4 linked regions of the Notamacropus eugenii genome follow. Each later gene encodes a partner of the first gene's protein in a complex. Links are inferred from orthologs where the notes say so. Each region holds a gene or a part of one and is shown on either strand. Other genes may lie near its edges.

The links.
Region 2: CC2D2A (region 1) and TMEM216 share a complex: the UniProt entries of both Homo sapiens proteins name them as parts of the tectonic-like complex. The link is inferred for Notamacropus eugenii from reciprocal best matches to the Homo sapiens genes CC2D2A and TMEM216.
Region 3: CC2D2A (region 1) and TMEM107 share a complex: the UniProt entries of both Homo sapiens proteins name them as parts of the tectonic-like complex. The link is inferred for Notamacropus eugenii from reciprocal best matches to the Homo sapiens genes CC2D2A and TMEM107.
Region 4: CC2D2A (region 1) and B9D2 share a complex: the UniProt entries of both Homo sapiens proteins name them as parts of the tectonic-like complex. The link is inferred for Notamacropus eugenii from reciprocal best matches to the Homo sapiens genes CC2D2A and B9D2.

What each region holds. Positions count from the first base shown.
Region 1 is NC_092877.1:67,984,443-67,992,203, forward strand, and holds the start of CC2D2A (coiled-coil and C2 domain-containing protein 2A), read left to right. Parts: upstream 1-4,760; 5' UTR 4,761-4,843; coding exon 4,844-4,930; intron 4,931-7,101; coding exon 7,102-7,182; intron 7,183-7,761. UniProt on the Homo sapiens protein: Component of the tectonic-like complex, a complex localized at the transition zone of primary cilia and acting as a barrier that prevents diffusion of transmembrane proteins between the cilia and plasma membranes.
Region 2 is NC_092873.1:12,956,733-12,963,228, forward strand, and holds TMEM216 (transmembrane protein 216), read left to right. Parts: upstream 1-3,868; 5' UTR 3,869-4,025; coding exon 4,026-4,038; intron 4,039-4,235; coding exon 4,236-4,337; intron 4,338-4,606; coding exon 4,607-4,699; intron 4,700-5,108; coding exon 5,109-5,310; intron 5,311-5,489; coding exon 5,490-5,505; 3' UTR 5,506-5,990; downstream 5,991-6,496. Other genes in the region: TMEM138 (transmembrane protein 138), read left to right, coding at 1,733-1,808, 2,021-2,133. UniProt on the Homo sapiens protein: Part of the tectonic-like complex which is required for tissue-specific ciliogenesis and may regulate ciliary membrane composition.
Region 3 is NC_092873.1:77,717,846-77,725,848, reverse strand, and holds the start of TMEM107 (transmembrane protein 107), read right to left. Parts: upstream 3,007-8,003; 5' UTR 2,891-3,006; coding exon 2,789-2,890; intron 2,232-2,788; coding exon 2,164-2,231; intron 2,016-2,163; coding exon 1,915-2,015; intron 1,562-1,914; coding exon 1,465-1,561; intron 1,296-1,464; coding exon 1,226-1,295; 3' UTR 1-1,225. UniProt on the Homo sapiens protein: Plays a role in cilia formation and embryonic patterning. Requires for normal Sonic hedgehog (Shh) signaling in the neural tube and acts in combination with GLI2 and GLI3 to pattern ventral and intermediate neuronal cell types.
Region 4 is NC_092876.1:29,863,944-29,871,276, reverse strand, and holds B9D2 (B9 domain-containing protein 2), read right to left. Parts: upstream 3,007-7,333; 5' UTR 2,832-3,006; intron 2,324-2,831; 5' UTR 2,218-2,323; coding exon 2,130-2,217; intron 1,528-2,129; coding exon 1,402-1,527; intron 978-1,401; coding exon 664-977; 3' UTR 396-663; downstream 1-395. UniProt on the Homo sapiens protein: Component of the tectonic-like complex, a complex localized at the transition zone of primary cilia and acting as a barrier that prevents diffusion of transmembrane proteins between the cilia and plasma membranes.

The DNA.
Region 1 (7,761 bases):
CGGCTCTGACTTCAGCGCTGCCCGTTAGAAGATTCGGCACAGACTGCTCTCTCTACTCTCTTGTCTCTAGGCTTAAGAGAACCTTTCCAGGGCCTTGAGTAAAGTTCCTTCAGGTAAAGAAAGCGTTTACAAACAGGGTCCTCCAGCCCGGGACACTCAGATTGGCACAGCAAATGCCCAGAATTCTGCCTACCTGTGTACAACTGGGTGGGGGTTTGTGAATTTTCCATGCCCTCCTCTGTGTTTGCTTCTGAAAAGAGAGGGGCACAATTCCAAGTCCTTTTGATCATTGACAGTGTGGGCTTAGCACAAATCTGGCCCCTGATTGGGAAGCAGGAAATACAGGCGGCTACCCCGACTCTCAGCACTGATTTCAAGGCCTATTTCTGTGCTCCCTGACTAGCTATTCAGCTTAGTTTGCAACTAAAGCTTGATGGAAATATTTGAGTATATTATGTAGCCTCAGGCCTTTTTATCTTCGCTTGAGGGGGAGGGATGTTTGATGAGATAACACACTTGTAACATCGTTTTTCTTGGCAATGATTAGGGGCCTTGTAACCATCCTCCAAAAGGTTACTCTTGTTATTTTGAAAAGACACAAAGATAATATGTTAGATGCAGTTTTACATGACTTTCTTCTGTAGGAAAGGTGTTATGAAGATGTGTGTGTATAGTATATATATAATTATGTGTGTATTATATGTCATATTATGCAGATTTATGTGTGTTACATATAATACATATGTATTTTTACATAGGTATACATCAGACAACATCGTGGGGCAAATCACTGCATATACAACTCTTTGTACATATGTATAACAAACACATATCTATTTTATCTATATATAGATGTGTACATCACATATATTTACATATAAAGTGACTGTTTACAGGGAAATCTGTAGGGACTGGACCAGCCATTTTATTGACATAGGGAACTTCTGAGTGAGGAAACTCCCTCTACCAATGTAATTGTAAAGTCTTTAAAAAGTCCTAAAGCCTTGGGTCATATGGCCAGTATGTGCCAAAATTAGGACTTCTTGGGTCTTCTTGGCTTCAAGGTCAGTTCTTTATCCACTCTACTACATGAGTGGATTATATACTACATATGAGTATATGACTTCTATGTTCTAGCAAAATTATTATATTTTATTAAATGTATTTGTGTTAGACTAATATTTTCCTCAAATATCTCTTCTTGAAATGGAGGTGGCATTGGGTTGTCAAAGGCTGGCCCAAAAGAGCACAAGGCATCATATATCTAATCCAAACTATGAAGTATTTAATTAAGCACCTACTATGTGCCAGACTGCTAGAACTAGGGATGCAACAACAAAATGAGAAGTAATATCCTTAAAGAGAATACATCCTATTGGGAGGGAAGGGACAAGAGAGTCCAGGCCTGTGATTTCACTGGTACAAGAAATTCTTCCTGAGGAATCCTCTCTACTAATGCAGATCAGCACCTACTCTACAATTTATAGTCTTAGAAAACTGACCAGGGCCCTGAGAAGTTAAGTGATTGTACAGGGTTACACAGCCAAGGTGTATCAGAGGCAAAACTTGATAGATCTTCCTAACTAAGGGATACAGCATGTAAGCAATATAATAAGGATAATTTGAAGAGGAAGAGAGAAGGCATAATCAAGAAGATCAGGAAAGATGCCCCATAAAAGTGGCACATGAACTGAGCCCATAAAGGAGCTTTGGATTCCAAGAGGCAGAGGTGAGCAGAGAGGGCATCCAAACCATGAGCTCACAGACAGAAGATGGAACTTAGTGTGCAAAGAACAGTGAAACAAGTAGGTTGATCTGGTTATGCGTTAGGGCACACAGGTGGAAGCACTATGTAAGCCACATGGAAAAATAGGCTAGAGTCCGATTGTGAAGGCTTTAAATGGCAACTGTACACCTGTGTTTATACCTTGTTTGAGAGACAAGAGGGAGCCATTGAAGGTTCTTAAGCAAGAGAATGACAAGATCAGACTTGAGTTTTAGGAAGTTTTGCATATGCCCCAGGGTTAGAATGCATGTTTCATGTCTGAGCACCAGGCTAATTAAGTTGGAAGACTCTCATCACTATGTTGGCTGAAGGATGATAAATTATGGGGCATAGTAATTCCTGAAGATCATCTCCTAAATTGTGGATGAAATAAATACTCACCCTGATGAAATTATAGATCTTTGGGGTACTGAAAATGTTTATGTTATCTAAATATTATTTTGAAGGGTCCAGTCATGTGATTTCATTAACATATGGAACTCCCATTGTGACAACTCCCAAGAAAGAAGTATGCATCTTCTCTGTAACTTATAGTCTTATATAAGAGTTATTTGGGAAACTGAGAGGTTGTGATTTGCCCAAGGACATACTTTGTGTCAGCAGCTGGATTTGAATCTGAGACTCTCTGTTCTAGACCAGTTCTTTATCCACTATGCCTCTCCTAATTATTACATATGATGTTAATAGAAAATTATATATTCCAGATATGAACTAGGTGCTAAGCTTTTTCTTTAGAGTTATTGCCAATCCTTGCTATTAAGTGATATGAAGTGGAAGAAATATTTTTTCTACTGGTTCATCAATACAGTGGGTATTTACTATCTCCTATGTGCCTATGGCACCCTTGAAACCGTTTGGGTGGAGGAAACTCATCAGGGATCAGGGAGAAAAGGATAGCTCTGGAAGGAGTGGAGAGAAAAATGAGCTGACATTTTCCCAGGGTATACCATGAAATCTGGATTTTCAATGAGATATGAATGATGATTCTATGAAAAAAGAATTTACTACCAGATTTAATTTCCTCTCTGAAATATTAAATGTGAAATTATGCAGGTATAAAAAAGAATTGTGAGACAATTTTCAGTATTAAAGTAGGTTTCATTTCCCCATCTTGCCCTAAAAAATTTTTTTATGGTTTTACTTTCCCCCTTGTTCTCTCCCCCACACCAAATTGGAGGTGGGAGTGGGGAGAAAAACAAGATCCTTGTAATAAATATACATAGTACAGCAAAACAAATTTCCACATTAGCTGTATTCAAAAATGCATCTTATTCTTCATCTTTAGTACATCATCTCTGTTAGGAAGTGAGTACCTTGCTTCATCATGAGTCTTCTGGAATCATGGTTGGTCATTGCATTTATCAGAGTTCTCAAGTATTCCTTCGAACATTGGTTCCTTCGAGATTTTCCTGATATTTTTCCAGTCTGAGGAATACTTATAGATTCTATCAACACTTATCAGGAAAATAATGTTCTGTGTCCAGATTACTTAGGGAATCCCAGCCCTATATCCATCTAGATATATGGGAAAATGGAAAGTATAGTGAATATAAAAGAAAAGGGAGGACATGGGACAAGAAGGGGGAAAGGAAAGACTAGCTTGGTAATAAGGATCTTTCAGGATTGGAATCTCAGCAGGTAGAGGAAACACATCATGACAAAAGACAGGAGTGCCCTAGGAACATATGTATAATCAAAAATTGATTATTTTAGAATAAAATTTCCTCTGAAGAAAAGGAAGAATTATGTACAGATTTCCACAGATGAGATGAATTAAAGGAATGATGGACAATCCATGGTGTGGGTGTGAATGATGCCTAAGTGGGTGTGGGTGTGAATGATGCCTAAGTGGGTGTGGGTGTGGTTGTGAGTGACACCTAAAGCATCTGGGGAAGGTTCTCTATTATACTTTATAATATTCTAGTTTCCCCCTACCACTTTTCTTTCATCTCACTCCTTTCCTCTTCCATATTTCTCTCTTTTTTTCTTTTACTAACTTTTATTGATGCCTCTTGGCATTGATATCTCCTTTCTCCCATTGAATTCTCCCCTGTTACATGGGGGTGGGAGAGGGGGGGAAGTTAGTAAAACCAACCAACACAGCAACCACATCTGGCAGGGTAAGCAACATTCTGAATCTTTAGTCATCTACCAAGAAGACAGAAGTATGTTAGATTAGTTATGTTAGTTCCTTGAAGGCAATCTTGGTCATTACAATCAGCAAAACTGCCTTCCACCTTTGTTTTCAATTACATCATTATAGTCACTACGTATACTGGTCTCCCAGTAATTAGAATATTTAGATTCCTTCAAGGATCAGTGCAGGTGTTACCTCCCACAAGAAGTCTTTTCTGATCCCCTTAGTTTTTTAGCATTCTCTCCTTCCTAAATTATTTTGGATTTACTTGTTTGTTTATCTGTTGTGTCCCTCTTTCCACACTGCAGTAGAATGTAAGGCCCTTGAGGGTAAAGAGGGGTCTTTGTCTCCCTAGCACCTTACATAGTGTCTTGCGCATAGTAGATGCTTAATAAATATTTGTTTATTGGAATTGAACGAAAGCATACTGTGTTTAGTAATCAACTAATTGTCTGTTTGGTTGAAACATAAGAACAGCGAAGTGAAAGGAGGTTATGGTGAGATTTGGGGGAGTGAGCCTAGTACCACCATCCTGGAGCAAAAAGGGGTCAACAAAAGTTTTTGAACAGAATTCCATGACCAGATATCTGTGCATAAGAAAGGATAGATTGTAAGGGAGAGAGAAAGAAAATGTTAGGAAAACATTTGGGGATGATACTGTAATGATCAGGTAGATGAATCTGTATTAGAATAATAGGAGAGAAGGAAGAGGAGTTAGACATCAAGGGAGATTGTAGAATTAATTTTCAATTTAAATGAGGTAAATTTAATAAACCCTAACCTGTAGCTTAGCTGGGGTTCTACTGGAACAGATGATGATCTAGCCCTTTGATTTTATAGTATTCTTGCTAAAGTTTCACACACATTCATTCTAAGCCATACTCAGTTCCAGCTTCCAAACAACAACACACAAACAACACATGATGCCTGATTTCTTTGTTTTCACTTTGCTGCTCAGGGATCCAGAAATGAGTCACAAAGAAGAAAAAGTGAAAATAATCTCAGAGGTAAGTAGATGTTTATATCATTGTTAGGGTTCTGTATGAGTGAAGAAATCATATTAATAATGAATATCTATTTCTGCTGAATCTACCTACTACAGAGTATACTATACTCAGGGTTATTCACTTTTGGGGGAAATGGCCTACTTTTAAGTTAGTTTAGATAATCAATAAAGCAGGAAATCAAGCCCTGATTTAGTGATCACTGATTTCTAAATTATACTCTCACTGAAAACTTTACAAACTTCACGACTGTTAGAGCTGGCGTCAGCACACCCAGGTGGTGTGGTGAGCATTTGAGAAACAAGGAAAGAATTCTCAATTCTAAAACATTTTAAGATTTCACAAGGATCCAGACTATTAAAGCACATTATTGTCATTTTCAATAAAAAACATTCCCTGTTCCCAAGGAGTTTAAAATCAGCCTGGACTTTAAAAACTTTTGTTTCTCTTCATTTCTTAAATACTGGAAGCCAGAAATTGTACTTGCTGCATGACCTTGGACAAGTCAGTTCCCTTCTCTAGACCTATTCCCTTATATGTAAAATATGGGGGTTTAAGTCTAAGACCCATTCAAATTGTCATGTTCTTGGTTCTGGAGAGGAGATTCTCCTTCACCTCCTCTTCTTCTTCCCCCTCTTCTTATTTTCCTTCATCTCCTCCTCTTTCTTCCTCTCCTTCTTGTCCCTTTCAAGACAACTGCAAAATGTTCTTTCCTGCTCTCTATGGGCCAAATGTGTTCCCTAGCAAGTTTGTTGCTTTCCCATTATGACTCCTTTTCTGTCAACAGAATCAAAGCCATTTTCCTATTTACTCCCAGAAAGTTTTCCTGCCTCACTCTGAAGTGGCTTCTAGGACCTGCCTTATAGAATTGTAGTAAGGATCAAATGAGGTGAAAGGATCTAGTGCTTTATAACTAGAAAGTGGGTTCTTCTTATTAATTCTCCAAAACTACACATTTTCCCTACCAGCTAGGTTGGTTGCCCCAGAATCTGTCCTGAATGAAAGGACCAGAGCAATTTTTGTGGAATCTGGATAAACACTTGTAGAGCCAAAGGCAGGTGGTGAGGAGATTGGCCAAACATCTACTAGAATAAAATTTCTGTGAAGCCACCAGTGATAGGAGGCACCATGGTAGAGTGGAAAGATCACTAGCACTGTAGTTAAATGGCTTGAATCAAACCTTATTCTAAGCTTAACATACGTACATACATATGTATATACACACAAAAATGTATGCCTGTGTATGTACATACATGTATCTACATATGTACATATTTGTATACACGCATGTATATTCAATAATCATTCAATAAACATTAAGTGCCTTCTAAATGTCAGGTACTGTGCTAAATGCTAGGGATACAAAAAAGAGGCAAAATTCAATTACTATCCTCAAGGATCTCACAATACAGGATCTTGGGAGAGTTCTAACATCCCTGGGACTCAGTTTCCTCACCTGTAAAAGGAAAAGGTTGGAGTAGATGAAGTCTGAGCTCTAGATCTCTGATCCTATGATCTGATATAGAGTGATAAATGAATCTATATATTTACATGTACATATAGTAGATAGCTATATGGATATCTATGGCAGATATGGAGGGAGGGAGGGAGACAGACACAGGGACAGAGAGAGACAGAGATAGAGAGAACAAGGATACAGTATGGCTTTATACAGCCCTCTGAATAATTTAAAAAATCAAGCAGAATTACAAAATGTTAGCAACCAAAGGGACCTTAAAGGTCATGTAGTCAAACTCTGCTATTTTACAGATGAGGAAACTGAGACTCAAAGGAATTAAGTGATTCTCCTAAGATTACACAGCCAGTAAGTGACAGAGGCAGAATCTGATCACAGTTCTCTGACTTCAGAGTCTTTCATATTATGTCATCTGGTGCCAAGAATGATGGTGACATTGATGATGGTGGGGTGTTGGTGATGGGGGTGACAGTTGTGTTCAGTAAAGGATCTAGTCTCCTATTTCCTAATGAAGGCTAACAGAATGAAGTAGAGGGCCTGAGCCTTTTCATCTTCACTGTGATTTTGTTTTTAATATTTAAAAATACAGCTCCAGATCTTTAATTGTTGAATTGTTTTAAATTTCAGCAAATAAACCTATCACACTTCAATTTTTTCTTTTCTTTTTTTTCTTTTCTTTTTTTTTTTTTTGACAAAGGAGTTTGTTGAAAATGAAGGTGCGGAGGCAGAAAAACTGAAGAAAAAGTTGAAAGTTCAAAAACACAGAAGAAAAAAACAGGTAGGATTGTCACCATTCTGATATTTGTCTTTTGAATTGATGTTTAACTTTAGCAATGTTGTAGCATCAGAAGGGTACCGGCACAGCACATGGAGTCTTCTCTCACTTTCCATTGCTTTTCTAACTGAACCATCTACTTTTCTGGTCGTAAGTCTCTTTCACTTCTTTCATGCAGGTGATCTTCGCTAGGAATAGCCTGTTCAGACCCGCACCATAACTTTCTATTGCCCTTTGAATGATCTGCAATTTTGATTCTATGACAACTATACTGAATGATTTATAGTTGTACAGCATTACCAGAATATGTGAATACATGAGAGATCTGTGGTTTTGTCTGCTTGAAGAATCACCCTCCACAAATCCAGATACCTAGCTATCTACCATACCCCTAACCCTATATGCTACTGGACCCCTAAGCAATCTGACTGAAGATAAGTCTCAGGGAATTGTCTGAGACATACAGAGGCCTCATGACTTTTCCCACATCACACAGTTAGTGTCAAAGGCTAGGTCTGAACTGAGGACTTGCTAACTACAAGTCCAGTACTCTATCCACTATGGCACATTGCCCCTATCCTC
Region 2 (6,496 bases), on another chromosome or scaffold:
TTTACAGTGAAGAGGGATTTCTTATAATGAAGTCTTCCACATGCTCTAGTTTATGGATGACACCATAATGGTCACATGAAGGCCCATAACATGGCAGGGCCTCCTAGAAGAGATCCATAGTGACAAAAAAAGTTTGATGTAACCATCCACACAGGAAAAAGCAAGTGGATAAAGACTGCCTATTGTGATAGGCCGTCATGTGGACAATCTACAGAGTCCATCCATTATTATATACATATACGTGTGAATATATATGTGTATGTATATATGTACCTGTGTGTGTGTGCATATGTGTATGATGGTGCAGACTGATTTGGGCTCAGAACTGAATAGAAGGACCTCCAGAAAATAGCAGAGTTTTGTTAAGGACTTCCGTCATCTCCCAGAAACAAACACCCATCTTCTAATTCTTTCTTTTTAGAAATGTACTCTATTTAATGATATTTTTTTGTTTTTACATCATCCTTATTTCCAAAGAAATCACCTCTCATTAAACAGAGATTTAAAAAGGAGGAAAAGAGCAGTTCAACCAAGCTTGCTCATGCAACATCAGGCCTGTTGGACAGACGGTGCCCACCATACATGGAATTGTGAGGGGAGCCCACCATCTTGTAGGGTGGAGAATCCTCCTGGGATGTCTCAACCGCGAGTCCCTCAAGAAGGCAAAAAAGACGTGGGGTGGGAGTGCGCTGGCTGGCGCAGCTAGCAGCTACAGGGCAGGCTTCCTCAGGGGCCTCCTGGCCAGGTGAGCCTGAGTAAGACTCGGGGGAGCTCCCTAATATGATGAGTTGCAGAGAGGGTCAGTCTGCATTGGCAGAGGCTTTTTCCTTTGTCTCAGAGGCTTGAGAGAAATGAAATGACTGGCCCAGGATGACCCTGCTAGCTACAGATCTGAGACAGAGTTTGAGCCTGGCTTCCTTAATTCCAGGCCCAGCTCTACATACCCTGGTCTGGGCTGGCTCATCAGAGAGGTAGTCTGAGGGGAAGGTGTGGATTGCCAAAACTCCAGCCCTCAGGAGAGGAGCAGAGCTCACAAGTAGGAAGCCAGCTCATGCTGGTGACGTGGCACTAAGCTGGCACAGCTCCTGGCCTTGTACTGTCTGCCCGGCAGGGGAGATAAGAGGATTTTCTGAGATCTTCGTGCTGAAGCCAAAATAGGTTCTGCTTTTATTTTGTAAAGCTCCTGAGCCGAGCTGTTTAATTCCGAGTACACCTGAGCCCTTGGCTACCAGGAGCATAGACCAAGATGAGAGGAGTAAACAGGCTGACCCTGTCCACACAGGAGTCCCAGGCCTGGACCTCATACATAGTGAATGCCTCTTCCTGGTAAGGGAAGCAATGAAGGGCTTGACAAAGCATTTATGTGTGGAAGGGCCATGCCCCATCATCCTTTCCCAGGAAAAAGAGAACTTGGTTAGTCTGTTAAGAAAATGTCCCCATCTGTAATCCCAGGGGAGCACAGGAGTTCCAATGGCTGGGTCCTGCTGCTTGGTTGTCTACGCTAACATCAGCGTGGTGAGCCCCGGGATTGGGAGCTATCAGCATGGCCAGGCTGCAATGGTCCAAGCTCCTGTACCAGTCAGTGGGAGGACTGGGCCTAAGAACATAATGGGTTGGTGCATGGGAAAGAGCTGGGCCATGTGGTGGTGCATCCTGTGTGGGGTCAGAAGTACAGACAGAGCAAGGGCCACATCTGAATGCTGGCTTTACCTTGGCTGCTTCTCTCCTTTAGAACCTGCGCTGGAAAAACTCCAAGCATTTTATTTGGACAGATGGTCTTCAAACCCTGTTTGTGTTTCAGAGACTGGGTAAGGACCACATCACCTTCCCCCAGCAGGTCCTTCATTCTAGAGTCAGCCAGTGGCATAAGTCCCATCACCCCTGCAGTGGTCCTTCCCCTTCCCACCCCTCACCTGGTGGTGCTGGGGAGTCTGATCCCACTATCTCCCATGTCATGTCCCCAGAGGAGCAGCTTGAAGGGGAGTACCCTTCAGGGCCCTTTTCCCATTCTTATCCCCAGCTGCTGTTCTCTATTGCTACTTCTACAAGAGGACAGCCATCCGCCTGGGTGATCCACGGTTCTACCAGGATTCTCTGTGGCTGCGCAAGGAATTCACCAGAGTGCGAAGCTGACCCCTCTGCACCAGCCAGACTGCGGGAACCCTGCCTGCTGCATCATTGGGGGCCCATGACCAGGGCAAGGCGGGCACATGTTCCCTATTACTCACCTGCATGCTAACTAAAGGTCTCCTGCGCAGCCTGCTGCCCACGACACAGCACGGCCCCTCTGTACCACTTCCCCTAGAGCCTGAGGGCCCATTGGCTCCCTTCCTGCAACCAGGAAGTTCCACCTAGGAGCCCTTATTAAGAGCCCCCTTTGGCTGCTCCCTCTCCCCCCACCGCAGGCCTGGGCATGCAGAGAATAACACTGGCACACTTAAGAGACTTGGGCTTGGAGGTTTTTATGCTCTACAGCCCTTTTGTACTTTTTTAAAATAGGTAATAAATGTATCCCTTTTGCCATAAATTTCCAAGGCCAGGCTGTTTCTGTTGGTGGTGATGCCTGGTTTCCTTCCCTTGGTGGCCTGCATATCCCCTTTCCCTATAGGTAGACCCGGCCTTTGAGAGGCCATTTCCTTTCTTAGCTCTTCCGTTTTCCTGAGATGAACATGAGCAGTTTGGATTCAATGAATTTTCAGCCTTCTCCAGCTGCCTTATTTGTTCCTAGACTAGATCCAGAGTCTGACAAATTGTTTCTGTGGTCAGCCCTAGGGCCATGTGGGAGTCTGGCATGGGCCTAAAACACAGGGAGGGGGCCTGGATTCAAGGCCTGGTCCTAGCGCTCATTACTTGTGTGACTGTGGGCAGCTTCTCAGAGCCTCAGTTTCTTCACCTGTAAAATGGTGGAAATGCTTTTCTGTAGGTCCTTACCTTGCATTGGTTTATCTTTTGTATACATTTACATATAAATGTTGTCTTATGGAAGAGATACAAAGAAAGTGAACAAGTCAGTCCCTGCCCTTCAGGGTTCAAGCCCTAACTCTACCTGCCAATCACCCAGGACACAGCCTCTACAGAGCAGAGTCCTTGGGAGGCAGTTCCAGAGAGAAGGCACTGGGAGGGGGAGGCCAGGACGGACTTATGCACTGAACCTGGGGTTTGAGACTTGAAGAAGTCAGGGAAGCTAGAAGAGGGAGGCAGGGATGGCATTCCAGGTATGGGGCACAGCTAGGGAAAAGGCATGGAAGAGGAAGAGAGCGCCTCTTGGGCAAGGAGCTGCAGGAAGTGTGTAGATTGTAAAGGCTGTGAAGGGCTTTAGATGCCAAGCACAGAATTTTCCATTTGGTCCCAGAGGTAGTAGGGGGCCACGGGCCGACGAGGATTTGGGGGAAGATGACTCCGGAGCTGGGAGAGGCAGGCTAGGAGGGTGTGCAGGATGTGCAGGAGAAGTGTGCACGGAGGTGCAGGGACGCACTCGCGGGAGAGGGAGAGGTTCAACAATTAGGGGGCTTTTTCTGGGGGCACGAGTGTGGGTTCCAGAGGGAGGGAGAAGTGGGGGTATGCGAGGGGGGTCTGAGAGGAGGGAGTGTCTGAGCCCTGCGCAGGAGGGCATCTTGGGGCTCGCTGCTGTCTGCCTCAGTAGCAGCCCCGTCCCCCAGGATGGTTGTGCGGGAGCACTGAAGAAAGCTGACGCCCGGAGGGGGCCCGCCCCGAGCCGCCCTCGGCCTCTCACGTGGGCGCCCCGGCAGGGCTCGCCTCCGCTTGCCCCGCCCTTCGCCAGGCGGAGGCCCCGCCCTTCGCCAGGCGGAGGCCCCGCCCCCAGAGGCCGCGCCCCCGCCAGGGCCCAGCGCCGCAGGCCTCGCGCATGCTCGGCGGCCGCCCCCACCGAGCTGGAGCGGCCGCCAGCTAGAGCGGCCCTTCCGGGCGGGCGCCGCCTCGCCCCGCCCCTCACTTCCGGCAGGCGCCGAGCTGGTCTCCGGGAGCCCAGGCGCCGCGCCAGCAGTTTCCATGGGGACTGAGTGGCGATGGCACCGCGAGGTGAGCTGCCCGAGGTGTGTGAGTCTCCGCGTTCGGGGACCCCCGCCCAGGCCTCGGTTTCCCCACGGGTCCACAGCGAGGAGTGCGCTGGCCGCGGCCGTGAACGCGGGCGAGCCGGGGCGGGCGGGGGCCGGCCGGGGCGGGAGGCGGGGGGGACGCGGCCCAGCCGCTCACCAACCTCGGGCCTCCCCCTCCAGACCGCCGGCTGTCGTCCATCTCCCTGGAGATCTTGCTCTTTCTCAATGGCTGGTACAGCGCCACCTACTTCCTGCTGGAGCTCTTCGTGTTCATGTACAAAGGTGAGGCGTGCGCCCCCCTCCCTGGCGCGAAGCCCCGCCCCTGACCCCCCAGAGCCCTGGGTGAACGTCGCCCCGCCCCTCGTCTGGCCCCGCCCCCAAGCAGCCCCGCCCGTCCGGCCCCGCCCCTCCCAAAGTGTTGCCTGGAGAGCCTGAAGGACCGGCGCCGACCCCCGGTTGTGCTGTGCCTGTCCAGCCGCACAGCAGGGGTGAGGTGTCAGACCGGCACCCCTCCCCCGCCGCCTGCTGCAGCCTCGTTCTGGCCCCCGCAGGTCTTCTGTTACCGTACCCAACAGCCAACCTAGTTCTGGACCTGATCATGCTCTTTCTTTACCTTGGCGTTGAAATCATCCGCCTCTTTTTTGGTAAGTGGCTGATCCCCGCACCTTAGCAGGGGACCGAAAGGGTCCTGGCCCCCTTCTGTGGCCCAGGGGAAGGTTACAGGGTTGGACAGTCCCTTTCCTTCCTCTGGACAGAGGAGGCCGGGGGGGCACGTGGTTCTCCCGGGGCCTTCCCCCTTGCGGTGGGCACTGGGTGTCAGGGGCATATGTCCTTGCTGTGATGGTCCCGAGTGCTCCTTTGGAGGAGGAGGGAGGAACCCAAAGTCCTAACTCTTCTAGGCCAAGTTTCCCATCACCACAGACCTGCATGACTTCTAAACCTGGACTTCCACCCATTTTGCAGCCTCCGTGGCTTTCCCTGCTCCAGCCTTGTAAGCTCAGGGCAGGCCACTGGAAGTGATCCCCAGGGCCTGTTTTGTGCCTGTCTTGACAGCTACAAAAGGGAACCTCTGTCAAAGGATGATGCCCCTTGGGATCAGCTTGGCCATGACCATTCCGTCAGCCATGATGGCTTCCTATTACCTCTTGCTGCAGACCTACATTCTGCGCCTTGAAGTTGTCATGAGCACCATTCTGCTCATTTTCTGTGGCTTAGAGCTGGTGCTTGAGTTGATCACGCTCACCACCTTCAACAGGTACTACTTCCTCAGCCTGGGCTCAGGCCTCCCCTCTAGGAGGGCCCTGTGTAGGGGAGACGGGGTGAGGCTGGATATGGGGCTGGGAGATCTTGGAGGCTGAGGTGCCAGCGGTGGATAGGTGAGGTTAGCTACTGCTCTTTGGTCTTTAACCTACTGTGGTCTCTTCTTGCCCATAGCATGGATTCGTATTGAAGTGGCCTAATTGAGCCCTGGTGACTCAACCCCCTGGTGCCACAGAGACACATGCTCTTGAGGAGGCCAGCCCTTTGACTTGGTCCCGGCAGTATCTTCTAGACCAGCCTACAGAATATGTTCTCCATCTCCTTCAGGATAGCAGAGAGCACACAGCCCTGTCCTGGGCCCTTGCACATGGTCCTTACTTGGCACTCCCTCTTGTCACAACCAGAGCACTGAGTTTGGATTGTCTAGGTCTCCGGGGCCCCCAGCTTGAGCTAGGCCCGTTGTGCGTGTGTCCCTGGAAGCACTGTGGACCTGCATTTCACAAGGGTGTTTTTCTTCCACTAACCCCAAACCCGGACCTCATCCCATTCGTTCATTGTAGGGGATGAGCTTCAGAAGGGACTAGGCAACAACACTCAATAGCTTGGGGTATCATTTTCTTACACTATGTCTTCGAACAAACACTATTTATTTACAATAAATATTTATTTTCTGTTGTGGGGGCTGCTTATGGCACTGTTCTTTGCACAAAGCCCAAGGACAGTACTAGGTCCCTGCTTCCCAGACCTCCCAAAAGCCTGCTAGTCTTTCCATCAAGCAGCAGCATCACAGCATCAGGCCTCCGTGAGGCTTTCTGACTGTCTTCCTTACAGTGCCTGCTGTGGCCTGGTTTGGGAACTCAGTCACCAGGAACCAAGGGCCTTCATAAAACCTCTGCTCTCTAGGCTGATGCTGTGGTGAGGTGGCAGGATCTTTTGGTAGACAGACTGGAAGCGTTAGCCTCTATTTAAAGATGAGAAAACAAAGGAAGAGGCTTGGGGGGAACAATGCCCAAATCTTCTGTTGACCATCACTTATACCTTATTGATCTGTCCCCCATTTGTTCTGCTGCACGCAGTCACATCTGTCTCGTGTTCCTCTTCAGAGATTAACTGCCAGCCCCCTCTTCCTTTCTTTACAGAATCTTGAAGCCTTCGGAGGCCATGAGACTTTTGGCAAGTCT
Region 3 (8,003 bases), on another chromosome or scaffold:
TTTCCAAAGGTATTTGTAATATTCAGGGATAGAATAATGCCATGCTTGATCTTTCATCATATTTACTTTCACTTCAAACCTAAGATTCAGAAATTTAGAACTGGAAGTATCTGAGAGCTCATCTAAGCCAATGCCTTCCTTCTGTAAACGTGGAAACCACTACTATAGTAACGAACAAAACTGGAACAAAATTCAGACTCTGAGGCTTCTTGTGATCATATCTCATTGGCTCAAGGTGCTAAGCTCCCTTCCATTTTTTCTTGTCACCATTAATCTTTCCTAGGAGAGTGTCACTTATTCTTACCTTCTAGATTGGCATGTCTCACCTAATCCTGTTGGAAAAAGAGAAGAGTTGGGGTATACTATAAAAATGAACTCCCTAGTGGAGACAGGGTACTATTTTCCCATTTCCTCACAATAACTCCATTTTACACAAAGATGAGATTGAGAATGAAAAATGTTAAGTGACTTTTCCAAGATCACACAGCTAGTAAGTGTTCAAGGGTCCCCGGTTTGTGCACCATGACACGTCACTCGGATGGTAGTAAGTATTGCCCATTTCACAGATGGGAAGAAATTACATCCGTTCAGGGCATGCCTTACAAACAATAAAGAATATTTTCTGGGAGCTAAATGCAGGACATTCTAACTCTGATTTACCTAATGGATGGATACTGGGCACTGTCTTTCCCCAAGCCCATAAATAACGAAGGCCTATTCCATCCATCTGCACCCCAAACAATCTAAAGAAGCTAGTCTTAGCTTCTTCACTCAGGGTTCCAAAGCCTCCTGGTCCTCATTTGCATATTGTCCCAGGAATGACGTACATTGTCACTCGCATAAATCAGCCCCGCCCCTTCCTGGGATTTGGACCGTAATCATCGAAAAAGGGGCACCAGTAACTTTAAGGTCCTGGAATGGATGGGAAAACACCAGGCTCCCCTTGCGGCACACTCCTCTCTGCTGTGTCTTCCCTTCCCCTGTGTATGGCCAACATCGAATGTCCCCTGCAACTGGTGTCACCAGCTTTAGTTATGGTACAAAAGTGGGGTTTTATTATAAAATATTATATACAATGTCAATGTGCGAAAACTCAGGGGGATAAGAACACTGCCAACAGTCCCCCAAACCCTGTCGCTGGCAGTCTTCCCAGTTATTTTTCCAAGGACTGAGGGCTGACTTCAAAGCCTTCTCGGTCTTCTGCCCCACGTTTGTGGGAAGTGGTTCAGAAAGATTTTTTCTTTAACACGAAGACAGCGATGACCAATATTACTTCAGTGGAAGCTGGGAGAACACTGCAAGAGGAGGGAGGCGTGATCAAAGACTTTCTCGTAACAAAGACGGCCCAGTCCCAGCACTGACACCCTAGTCAGGACCAGCCCTTAAACCCAGAAAGCAGGAAAGCGTTGCCTCCTCGGGGGCAGCCTCTCGGAAACCTTGGATAGGTGGCCCCTCGTGCCGCACCTGCAGAAGGCGAAGATGTACCAATAGACGTAGCACTCCCAACCCTCGAAGACGAAGAAGGCCAAAGACACCGCTGCGCAGCAGTGCAGCGCGATGGCTTCAGGAGAGTCAGGGAAAAACAATGGAACTACATTTCCCAGCAGGCTTGGGAGAAGGGGGGGTGGTACCCAGGCAGGACCCGTCCTCGGCCGAGGAGGGAAGGGAACCTGCGCTTACTCTGCCAGCAAATTAAGCCAGGTTAGGAAGCGGAGTTCAATTCTCTTTCCTTCCTCGTCTCCCCGACCCCTGCTTATGTCACCACCATGTTAAGAGGGGCTCCATCTTGCGCCAAGCTCAAGTTAAACTTCAGAGATCCACACTTCGCCCCCCCAACCCCCGAGGCCTAGCACTCTTCCATTTGGGGAGCCACGCCACTGGCCACTGGGGGGAAAGAGTAGGTGGAAAGGATACAGAAGAGGCTCTGGGTGGAGTTGAACATGGACACGCCTGAAAAGAAACCTGCTAGTTCTATCAGGAAGAGGCCCAGGGTAATGGAGAGAGCAGTGACCATCCTATGTAGGGATAAAGCGGTCCTGGAGTCTACCCTTCGCAACCAGGGGCCTTCTCCCTCTCCAGGATGGCTTGACTCCTCCACCCCACCCCAAAGTGGAGGAGGGGAAAGCCTCCCCCACTGGCCCGCCCATCCCCTGGGTGGCTCACTTAAGGTCCTCCTCCTCATACTCCTCCGAGGTGAAATCGGGAGGCAGACTGGCCTGGACGTTGATGTCCTAGGAAAGAAGAGCAGGAGTAAAACAGGGTTTTTAAGCCAGGATGGAACAGAAACGGTAGCTGCAGGGCAGCCAGTGTTTGTCCCTTCCCCTTCTTCCCACGGAGCGTGGAAGCTACAGAGTGGGCCTTAAGAAACCACCGGTTCATAAAACATGCTGGGGAGGACACAGAGGTCCATGGACCCGCAGTCCCTAAAGTCACACAGCGTAAAGACTAAACCCTAAAGCTAGATTTCCTGACCCCTACGTAGGACCGGCTCGGGATGCTCCGGCCTGCGCTTGGGGAGGGCAGAAAGAGTAACTCATTAAGGGGGTAAAAGTTGGGGGGGGCGGGAACCTTTCTGTAAAGAAAGGATTACGAGTTGCAGGCGCAGGCGCAGGAGAAGCTAGGGGATGTAAAGGAAGAGGAGTCCCAAGCGCAGGCGCAGGCCGGGAAAGCGGGAGCTCAGGCGATGATCACCGGCACGGGCGACTTGCGTCACCCGCTCAAACCCTGGGCCGGAGACAGGGGGCCCCGGGAAAGCGAAGGGAAAAGGCTGGGATGGCAGTTAGGTTACCCGCGTCCAGAAGATGGTGACGACGATTACCAGATGAGCTAGCAACGTCAGAAAACGAGAGGGCACCAGCCCAGTGATCCGCCCCATGCTTTCCGAGAACATGGGTCGGCGGCCGTAGATCCACGATTCCTTCCGCACCTCGCCGCCGCCTCTCAGTTGCCACGGACAACCAGGGCATTATTTTTTTTTTAACCATGACGGTTGGCTAAACTACTCAGGAAATCTCGTGAGAAGTAGCAATGCACTGAGAGGGATTGAATTTAAAGGGACCCTCCCGTAGCTTGCAGCAAACCGCCGGCCTTAGCGCAGAATTCGTGCCTTCGCTTGCGGGATTGGAGATCCTGCGACCTCGAGGCCCTCCAGGTCCCTGGGTGCGGCCTTTGGACTGACAAATCCTTTTATTATCTAGGCCGCAGATTCCCCACCCTTGGCAGATTCTTCCCTGGAAACAAGGGTGCCTGACCTCCCCCCCAAACTTGTCCTTTTAGAATTTATCCTGTAAATAGCCATAGGGCTCCCCCCTCCATAGCATCTTCCCCTGGAGCTGCCGAGCCCGTTTCCAGTCCTTCTCCCCACGTTCCCTCTCTCTTTACACCCTTGTCACCCTAATTCATTTACATGCCGTGGTTACTGCCCTCTTCCTACTCAGTTCCCGAAGGGCTAGGAACCGCCTGACCTACACCTACCCCAGAATCCTAGCAGGGGGTCTCGTTCTGGGGTTTGTTTAAAGAGTGCCGAAGGAAGGAATATTACGCTTTCCCCAAGTATCTGGCAGAGTTCAGAGCTGGAAATTCGGGAAGCAAAAGACGAGACGTCCCCTGCTTTAAGGAATTTGCCTTCTAATAGGTGATGACGTTATGAATGAATGAATGAATGAATGAATGAATGAATGAATGGGCGCTAAGTACTTTGCTAAAAGTGCTGAACGCTAGCTGTGCGAATACAAAAAATGAAAACAGTACCAGATCTAGAGGAGCTTACGATCTTTTTAAGATTGCCTTTTCCTTTTTAAAAAAACAAAAACAAAAAAAACCAGGACACCTTTGTTGTTGTTTCATTCATCTGACCTTCCCAGTACTCACCCACCTTGGGCAACTTAAAAAATCGTACAATCGGACCAAAAAACAAATTGTTCAATATATATGTACATAGTCTGGCGAAACAAATTTCACACATTTAAATGTATGGCTTTTTAATGCCATTTTAAGTTCATCATCCCTCTGTCAGGAGGTGAGTGTCTTATTTTATCTTCATTCTTTGGGATTGGTGGTTTATCTTTGTAGTAATCAGAGTTCTAAAGTTTTTCAATGTTGTTTTCCCTTACTGGTATTAACAATACATAAATTATTCTCTGGTTCTGATGGGGATGGAATCTGAATACATAAAAGGAGAAGATCATGTCTTTGGGATCTGGACCCTCTAAAGGAAAAGCCCTGGGGCTTTTTCAGGTGGCCCACATCCCTGGTATGTGCCTGGGGCACTCAGCCCTTCCAGGTCTTTCTCTGTTACTGCTGAGGTTCGGGGTGCTGCGTACCCCAAAATACCAACATGATAGGTCCTGCTCAGATGAATTCAAGTCAAGCCTTTTTTAAGCCAAAGTAAAACAAAGTTTATTAATTCTTTAATCTTTAATTCGCCATATTGGGTTGACTTTTAAAGAGCCTAAGCATCTGGAACACTATATTAACAAGCGGACCAGATACAATCTCAACTAGACGGAGTCTGAGCTGGATTGAATCCGAGCACTTCCATGGAGGTGAGATGGAATTTACATATAGAAAGACCATGGGAAAGATCTAGAGGTGGTCTAGTAGTCTGGGAGGAGGGTCTAAGGAGGATCTTGATGGGACTAGGATAACTAGTGATATAATCCAGGATGGGAAACAGCTGGAGGCAATTGGGAGCTATCAGACAATGGAGGGCCAGGGTAGGAAGCAGGTGGGGCCATCCAGAGGTAACAAACTATGTTACCTTGGGTAACACTGAGGGTCGGCTAGATTAAGGGGAACAGATATGAGTATGAAAGGCCAGATAAAGTGGGAAGATTCAAGGAGGTTCCCAGAGTCTGTACCACATCATTACCTCCCAGTCACCCCAGACTACTTGGTCTCTCTTAGATCCTTCCCACAGTCTTTCTGTGTATAAGGTGCATCTTGCCCCCCATTAAATTGCTCATATTCCTTAAGAATCTGTCCCTGTTGAGGCTTAGGGGTTCTGAGACCCTGAAATAGCAACACGCTGGGTCCTGCCTGAGTGAATTCAACCCAAACCTTCTTTCAGCCAAAGAAAAACAAAGTTTATTAAAGATCCACCATATTGGGTAGATTCTTAAGGAATCTGAGCATTTGTGATGCTTGTGTTGAATCTGAGCATTTGTGCGGCTGTGGGTCAGATAGAATCTGAGCCCTTGTGATGAGGGCCAGAATGCACCTTGATGGAGTCAAGATGGATCTTATATACAAAAAGGCTGTGGGGGGGATTTAGAGGTGGCCAAGTAGTCTAGGGTGACTAGAGGAGGGGTTTACAGAGGGTCTTTATGGGAATGGCCTGGTCAGTAGGCTGGGGTAATTAGAGGTCAAACACCAGGAACTAGGAGAATAGGATTAAGTGTGGGAAGTAGCTGAAGACTACTTGGAGGTAGGAGACTATGGAAGGCTGGGCTAGTTTAAGGGTAACAGATTTGGGCATAGTAATAATGGAAGGTTTATGACCTCAGGCAAACACTAGAGCAAGTTGGAAGACTCAAGGAAAGTTCAAGGGGGCTTCTAGAGCCTATACCCATCTGCCCCACTTGCATTATCAATACAAAAGTCTCATATTCTTTACGTTTTGTCAATGTTCATATTCAGTGTGGCCCTCTTGATAATACAAGTGTCACAATAGGGCAGATTCTTAAAATCTTGCCCACCCAGACCATGTTCTAATAAGCCTTATTTCTAGCTGAAAGAAGGCTTGAGTCTAATTCATTTGAGGCAGGACTCTAGAGTTGTTTGCCCTTGAATTTCAGGGTTCCAGAAGCCCTAGACCTCAACAGTTCTGCTCACTTCACTAATTATCAGTTTAGAGAGGTCTTCCCAGTTTACTCTGAAATCATTCATTTCACTATTTTTATGGCACAATAGTATTCCATACATTCATATACCCCAATTTGTGTAGTCACTCATCAATAGGAGGACCTTCTCCTTCCAATTTTTGTCTTCCATAATAGAACTGTAAGGGATGATTGAATTTTGTTTCCATAGAAATTACATGAAACCTAAGAGGTTATACTGATGGCAAAACTGATTGTAGTGGAAGGGCAGTGGGGGATGTTGGCCACCTGTTAATCAACATATCTAAAAGCAGACTCTTCTTCTTTTGTTCTGAGAAGGCCTTTGTCCAGTGTATCAAAAACTGGCCAGTTGTGGTTCTCCAAGGATGGGGTCCATTAACCCAGATAACTGTCTTAGATAATGTGACTCTTTCTCATCGATATCCTGGGCCAATGTTCAACTCACAGCTTTTGTCAATTCTCTTAGCAATTGAGAAAATTCTTTTCTCATGCTATGGTGATCATAACATCTGATGCAGACAAACTAGGAGGATGTCCAGCCTAATTGCCGTGGGCTGCCCGGGTCATCTTACCTATCTCCAGGTCTTCGGTGGCCAGCCAGATAAACGTATCGAGAGAAGAGACTTCCAGGGTCAAACAGAAGTTGTAAGCTTTATTCAGGATCTTAGTTACATGTCAGCATGCAGGGCGAGTTCTTCCCGAGGAGAAAGGAACCCCACCCCCAGGCTTTCCTGTCCCCATTTAAACTCTCCCCGCTGCATAGTTCGCTCATGGATACCATGCATGCTCTCATCCCCTTAGCTAATTAACAAAAGGGTGTGCTCAGACCACAGACCAATCTCAAGGGTGAGATGCTTTCCCCAGCAAGTTTCCACTGAGAAGAGGTGGAAAAACAAGAAAGCTCGAGTCTCATACCTCAATTCTCAGCTGTTCCCTGGGGGGCCTCATGAGAGCTCGAAATCAAGAAGCCCTCACTTTTACCTGCCCAAGGGCGTTCACATGAGAACTGAGCTTACACCTCAAAAGAAGGAAACTAGAAGCATTTATTAAATAAAGTATAAAGAAAATGAAGATGAAAGGGAAGGGATTGAAATGTGGAAATGAGAGCTGTAAGCAGGAAACCATGTGGGGTTGGGGTTTAGGTGTTTTCAGATAGACTGTGAACCTTGAAATGCCTGACCAATGAGATGAAAAGGGAAATACTAATCAGAATGGGTTATGACTTTGTAATTGTCTTGAAGTGTGCCTGTGTCTACTAAGGTACCCTTTTCCACAAAGGGTTATAGGCAGGTCACCCATCCAAAATGAGGTGAAATAAAAATGTTTTTTTTCTAAATTCACTAATGGTCAAATGGAATTCTTGGTGAGATGATTATTTCTCACATTTGTACTGATATTTGTACTGATAAATGTTTGTACTGATAATCATTTCAAATCATTTGAACCTCAACAAGGCCAGAGGCTGAACTAATCAACCAGAAGAAGCACCTTGGCCTAACATTTCCCTTCTTCAATCTCTGAGTAAACCCAGAATTCCCCATCTTGTGTCAACAACTACAAGGGCCAAATGAAGCTAAGAGTATTCTTCTGTTTATGGCCATTAAGGATGAGGCCCTTAATTCAAGACACTATCTTGAATAATGGGACTTTTCTTATGGACACATACTACATATTATATCATGTTAATGGTAAAGAAAACACTAATATCCTGGGTTGTAATTTCAATTGACACTGTGTCAACTCTTATACTGTATTTACAATTTATTCAATTAAGAAAATCCCTTCCTCATACTATGGTTAAATATATATGGCAATTATAAATTTGAGTGACATAGACATTCTGAGTTGAGGTTGTTCCAAAATATATTTAATATTTCTCATTCTTTTTATTAGTCAGAATTTAAGTTCTGGCTCCATGCATGTATTCTGCTAGCCTTAAGGGAATAAACAATATGAATTTACATGTCACCTAGCCTGTTTGCCTCTTTTAACCAAACCTTCAGGTGGACAGTACATATAGATCCTTCTTCTTTGATTTCCTTGGGATGGTCTAATAATTGTATAATTGGGTCAAAAGATATACACAATTTGATAGCTTTCTAGGCACAATTCCCAATTACTTTCCAGAATACTGGATAATTTCACACCTCCACCAGTGCTACA
Region 4 (7,333 bases), on another chromosome or scaffold:
GACAGCCTGGCCTCTGGGGGGAATGACCCAAGGAGGGGAGGAAAGGGGAAAGAGCAGAAGGGGAGGGTCACAAGGGGAACATCATCCACCCGGCCCAGAAGGAGTCCAGGAAGTGGGTCTAAGAAGGCCCTGCAATGGCTGGACCCCGGGCTCCAGGTCCCTGGAAGTAGGCGCTTTTCACTTTAGGGACCTAGGTGTCCCCATTTTCCAAAGAGTGGAATGAACTAGATGGCATCCAGGGTCTCTAAGACTCCCTTGAACTCGGACATTTTGGGGCTCAGTCACTCAACCAGGGCATCCCTGGGCTCAGTTTCCCCCTCTGGTGAAACAAGGGGTTGGACTCAGGTCTGACAGTAAGGAAGGGATAGAAATGAGATGTTTGTACTCTGTCGGAATCTTGTATAGACCAATTCATATATTTCTTTACATGAAATCGCCCCCATTGACATGGATGCCCCAGGACAGAGCCATGTTGCTCCTTCTTGGTACCCCAAGGCTTTCTTAGGGCAGTACCTGGCACATAATAAAAGTTCAGTAAGAGTTGGTTGATTGATTGCTGAGGCCAGGAGCCCGGGGACAGACAGAAAAGAGGAGGGGAGGGAAGGAAGTGAGATGGAGAATTGGGGGATGGAGGGATAAGGGCTTGGGAGCTGGCCGAGGTGCTCAGCACTCAACCCCATATCGGGAAAAGTTTCTCAGGATCAGGGCCAGCTCCAGGTGCACGGTGCCCCCTGCTGCTGTGTGGAGCCGGTATCGGTCGGCCCCGCTGTAGACTACATCACTGTGTAGCAGCTGGGGCCCACCACCCACGAAGGCCCGAGCCAACTGCTCCCGCCAGCCACCCAAGGGGCGCCATGTCACACAGTCAAGGCTATGGATGCCGGGGCTGCTGGGAATGTGGGAAAAGCCATAGCCGGACAACTGGCAGCGGCCAAAGACGTCCTGAGACCACACTTGCAAGTGGAGCCGAGGCCAGCCTGGGGAGAGGAGAGGGTCTACCTCAGTCTTCTGCTGGCCAAGTCTGCCCTTCTTCCCAAGGCTTGGGTTTCTGTCTTCCTTCCCTGATTTTGTTCAGGCTCCTGTAGCCACTCCCAGTCCCCCAAAGGCATTCTGCCATCTTAAGCTGCTCCCGCCAACCACTGATGCCCATATTCTGACCAGGAGCACCCACAAATGACAGATCTGTCAGGTCTAATAAACAACACAGACCATCTCTGAGTCTCTTTTGTCTTTCTCTTCAACCTTCCCAGTCTCTGGGGGTCCAGGTGGGATTCCCCAACCCCAGGGTCCAGCCTGAAGGACTACTAGGTGCCCTGAACTGGACAGAGCCTCATCTCCCTGTCCAATTGGAGCAGTCCCTTCCCAGCTCACTTACTCAGAGCCTGGGACCCCTGCCCTTACCCTGTAGGCCTTTGGTGGCAAAATGCAGGTCAATTGGGTGAGACCAGTAGGCCATGCTACCCAGCTGAGGGGTGTCCACTTGTGTCTGGCCTTCCCGAACACCGGACAGCAGTTTCCATGCTCCTCCTGCCAGTCAGGAAAGGAAAGGGTCACTGAGGGGAGGGAGGGAGGGACTAGAAGAAGGGATTCTGTTGGGTTAGAGGGAGGGGCCGCTATGGCACTGGAAAGAGCCCTGGGCTCAAGTCCTGGTCCCATCAGTGACCTAATTAGACTTTGGCTTCTTCTACTGTAAAAAGAGCTTCCTGGCTGAAATCTCTAGGTCCCTTTCTGCCTCTATAATTCCAAATCTAGTCTAGCCAAAAAGAAGGGCAGTAAGTTCCATGTAGGACGAAAACCTTCCTCATATCCCCACACTCCCACCCCCCACTAAAGACTCTCACAGTCCCCAAGGAAAGAAGGAAAGGAGGGGGGTCTAGGCCTCTTTGGAGTTGAAGGATCTCCCACCCACCCATTAAGTGGGCAAAGACTCTGCTGTGGAGATACAATTTGGGGTACAGGTCCTGAAGAATCAGGAGGAAGACCTCAGGACTTTCCCCTTCTGTTCCACACTCTCTCCAGCTGAGTGCACAAGGAAGGTCAAGGGTCAAGTTCCCCGGGGGTGGGGGGAAGGTATAGAGGACTCCCCAGAGATGTGAACAGATGAGGCCATGCTATCCCCACATACTTACCAGTATGGACACCCCACTTGCAGAAGAGGCTGTTCTCAGAAAAACCTGTTGCCCCAATGATCTGCCCAATGACATGGACCTCAGCCATGGCCCAGTGGAGAGGAGAGATGTCAGAAGACTACAAAGAATGAAGTTCAGCAGCGACCAAACTGCTGCCTGACCTTGGACATGTCTCTGGGCCTCAGTTTCCTCATCTGTAAAATGAGCACATCATGATTTCAATTGAGTGGATAGAACAGTGCACCCAAAGTCTTGAAGATCTGGGTTCAAATCCAGCCTCAGACACTTAGTAGCTGAGTGACCCTGGACAAGTCACAACCTCTGCCTCAGTTTCCTCAACTTCAAAATGGGGATAATAATAGCACAGACTTTCCATGGTTGTTCTGAGGTTCAATTAGATAATATCTGTAAAGCAAGCGCTTTGCAAAACTTAAAACGATATATACGTACGTATACATGTAGGCATATGCGCTATTAGCTACAGACTCGGTAACTCCGCCCATCTCCATAGCTCCTCCCCTTAGGGCTTATAACTCCGCCCCCTCCTTCCAAATAGACATGCGCAGTATCCCCGGAGCGAGGCAAAACGCTCATGACTCCAGCCTCTGCGCAGGCGCTGTTTCTCTGGCAAGCACAACTGTACAGGAACACGTACTCGCGTCTCTCGGCGCCCGACCCTCGCCTCCCCTACCCCTCATTTACCCGAGAAACCTGAAGATTTCGGGACCGTCAGCAGGGTGAACGGCTTCCGGGGCCTGCTCCGGCCGTTGCTCTGGCAACAGAAGCTCGCGGTCTTCTCTGCGCACCATTCGTGCACGCCTTCGCGTCGCTGATTGGTCGTCGGAGAGGAAATGGGACCAGTAGGTATCTCTCGCCTTCCCCTCGCACGCCGCTGATTGGGCCTCAGATAGAATGGGGCGGGGCGATAATGAAAGAGCTCCCTTTCCCTTTGTGTGTGCCCGCCCAGCACACTGCTGATTGGTCCTTTCGGAAGGCGATTCCTTCCAAGATCCCTTGCGCCCACCCCATTGTTGGGCGCTGATTGGTCTGCGGTTCAGGAGCTGGGAAGAGACTATGTCTAACAGGCTCTAGTTCATAAAACGTTCTAGCCGGGAGTGGGTGGGGGTGGAATAGAGTGACCGCGTGCCATGTTAAGTGTGGCAGGTGGGCTTAAGCATGCGGCCATGTTGAGTGTGTCCCTCACCTTCCTTCCACCTTCTTATTCCGTACAACCAAGAGGAAAACCCTGTCCTGCCACTCTCGGTAAAACCACTTTCTTCCCGCATAGCACCTGTCAGTCCTGCTGAAAACTGCCTTCTTCTCAGTGCAGCCACCCCCAGAAATCCCATCCATTTCAGGCCTCTTATAAAGTGCTTGAGGCTACAAGGTCAAAAAGAAAGCAATCCCTGAAGCAATATTTGGCTGGAGCTGGGAAGTGATCAATCGGCATACATTTATTAAGTGTCTGCCGTGTTCCAGGCAGTGAGGAAGGACAAAAATGAGGCAAGGACATTACATTCTGCTGAGGGATTACACATGTGCACAGACAGATGGTGTAGAGGGATGGATGGAAGGATGGGTGGATGGATGGATGGACGGATGGATGGATGGATGGACGGATGGTTGGATGGGTGGATGGATGGATGGATGGATGGATGGATGGATGGATGGATGGATGGATAAATTAGATATGAATGGATAGATATAAGTATATAGAGGATGAGATAGATAAATGTGGATGGATGGATGAAGGTAGATCATAGATATGGATATGGATAGATGGATAAATTAGATAGATATAAATGGAGAGGTGATATAGATAGATATGTAGGTGTGGATGGATAATTAAATTAGATGATGGATGGGTGATATCTATAGATGTGGATGGATGAATATAGGTATTTGGGTGAAATAGATAAATGTGGATGGATGGTGTAAGACAGATGAAAACACAGCACACTTGAGGGCTGCTAGCACAGGTTCACTCTTGATTTGGTCAGACAGGAAAGACACTAAAAAGGGGTTAATAATCTTACTTTATTCTAGTCTAGTTCTTTCTGAAGAAGTTGCTGATAGTAAGAGCACAAACTCCTACAGCATTCACTAATCACCCTTCTCACAGGGGCTGGTGAGAAGCGGGGGCAACTACTCCTATGTCTCTATGGGGTCAATCGGGACAGGCACAACTTGTGCGTCCCCTAAATCCCCAAGCCTCAGTGGGGGCCAGTTGAGACAAACACAGATTCCCTCCAAACCTTGATGGGGTCTGATCAAGGCACACACAGCATTCCAGCTTGTGCATTCAACACTAAGGGTTACCCATTCACTATCTAGTGACCACCTGTTTTATAGGCCAGCAGACAAAGAAGGCAGATTGCCAGTAGCAGCCTCACAAGTTTCCATCGCCCCATCCCTGTATCTCACTGTGCAGCCGCAGTGGATGTTTATGTTATTCACCATTATATAACCATGCGCAAGCGTGGTGGAGACACTTCGAACCATAACTGTGGGACTCATATCTAGTACCTGGGAACCAGAGATTGTTATGGCTATGGATCCTGGGAAACTGACTCTGAGAAATAATTACAAAAATTCACTTTACACACACTAAAATTCACCTTACATACAGATGGATAGATTAGATAGATATAAATAGAGAGAGGCAATATCAATAGAAAGATAAATAGATATGTAGGTGTGGATGGATAAATAAATCGGAGATGGATGGATGGATGGGTGATATCTATAGATGTGTGTTCGTCCTTCGGTGCCAAAGAAGACCATGCCATCAGAAAAATAATGACATGACTTGCACTTGACTTTTGTTTTTTGAGTGAGGGAGGGCTGTACAGGTCACAAGCCTCACTTCTCCTCCAGAGCCATCTGAATCTAATGACCAGATATTCATCAGGATGACTGGAGATGACCCAGGATGAGGCATTTGGGGTTAAGTGACTTGCCCAAGGTGAATGTCCAGTGTCTGAGGTGAGATTTGAACTCAGGTCCTCCTGACTCCTGTACTGGTGCTCTATCCACTGCACCACCTAGCTGCCCCTTATCTATAGATCGATGTGGATGGATGGATGAATAGATTAGATAGATATAGAGAGAGGTGATATCGTTAGAAAGATAGTTATGTAGGTGTGGATGGATAAACACATTGGAGATAGGTCAATAGCTATGTCACCTCTGTCTGAAGCAGCCTGTTTCAGCCAACACTTATTGTTTTCCTGCAGTCTTTTAATGCTAGAATGGCCTCTGGGCATTTAATTGGAAGGCAGTTTCCTGAGGTTATCTAATGTCACACCATATAGGGACTTTTTCAAAGAAGGCCATGGTGCTTGGCCTGGAGAACAAGAGGCCTAAGCAAGAGTCCAGCACAGCAGGAAGGAAGAGATGGCACCTGTCAGAGGAAGAAGGGACTTTGTAAGTAATTCAAGAAGCCTGGGGAGCTTCCTGAGCTGGCTAACAGATGGAGATTACTTGACCCTGAATCACCTGGGTCTGAAATGGGATGAAGGTGATTGGCTTCTCCCTTCCCTTCATCTTAAAACCACTTCCCCTGACGCAAGAGAAGGGTGGGGGAATTTCACACTAGCTGCCCCATAATTCTCATTCTGTATCTTTCACTTTTCGGTTTAGATTATGCAAAGTCCTTTCACCTGTACAAGAGTTGAATAATCCCTGGAAGTTGCTGCTGCCCATGGATGCTGGGGCTAGAGCCATCTCGTAGCATGTGCATTGGCATAGAAACTCTCATAGTTTTCGGCTAGACAGACACCCCTCAAGGGATGTGGAAGATGGACACTGACAAGGCTGTCTTGTCCCTCCATGTGCCCAATGCTGAAAAGAATCCAGCTGAGCAGAGCCGGAGACAGCTGGGGCTTGAGCTTGCTCAGTTCCCCGTAGGCTCATGTCCACTGCTGATGTCAGTCCACCCATGCACAATTACTCTAACTCTCAGCTCAGGCTCGCAGGTTCCACCTGCTGGCTGGCTCAGATATAACATCCAGAGTCTCCTGTGTTAGTGCCAGGATGGAAGAGCCAGATGCCCCAATGGTAGATACATGCTCTTTACATATAAAAAGGAAATAACATATGAGATGGGCAGAGGGATGGTGATAAATGCTGGGGAAAATTTTGTTGACCTAAAAAAACCCAAAATTTAAAAAAAAACTTTGAAGAGGGAAAGGCCCCTGGGCTGTGCCTGCATACAAGTTGGGGAGTCAGGCAGGCAGAGGGGAGGCAGGGATGCATTCCAAGCACAAGAGACACCGTGAGAAGATGAAAGAGCACCTCCCATGCTGAGGAATGAGCCAGTTTGACTAGAAAGTAGAATGAAAAAGAGTAAGGGTCAGTAAGTGTGGAAAAGTAGACTGGAGACAGTTTATAAATGCTAGGCTGGGAGAGAACGCACAGGGGCTGTTATGTAGCAGAGAGAATAGAGGTGTTCTCTTTGGTCTGGAGAAGTTGAGGAAACTGAGGCAGGTAGACATTAAGGTACTTGCTCAGGATCACACAGTCATTGAGTATCTGAGCACAGATTTTAACTCAGGTCCCCTTGCCTCTTGGCTCAGCACTCAATCCACTGAGCTACCTCAGCTCAAGGCCCAGAGTAATAGATGAGGTTGCAAAAAGGCAAAGTAAGTTGAGGCTTGTTTTCAGGACAAACTTCCTACTGATTAGAATTCTCCAGACATGAAATATGCCTCCTTGAGAGGCGATAGATACTGGATGACCAATGGTCAAGTACGTTAGAGTGGAAGAGTGGAGGAGTTCATCATCATTCCATGTCACACTCATGATGGCATGCTTGCCTGGGTTCTGGATAATGGGCAATGCTCTCTCACTTTCCCAGGTACCACGGGAGTAAAGCCGAGCTGCATGTTTGCTCTCATGCTTTTTAGCAAGATGTTTTCAGCCATGCTGTCCAACACCTTTGTTGAGATTGAACATGACACCAAGATCAGCTACCGCCCTGGGGGTGGAGTATTTAACTTGAAAAGGCTGCAAGCCAAGACTAAAATGGAGGGAGGGTTAGTGCATGATTTTTTGTTCACAGATAATTGAGCACTCAGTGCAACCTCTGAGGCTGAGATAGAACAGTCTAGATTGATTCTCTGCTGCCTAACAGTTAACACCAAGAAAACACAAGTTCTCCACCAACCAGCACCCCACCATCCATACATGGAACCATCAGTTAC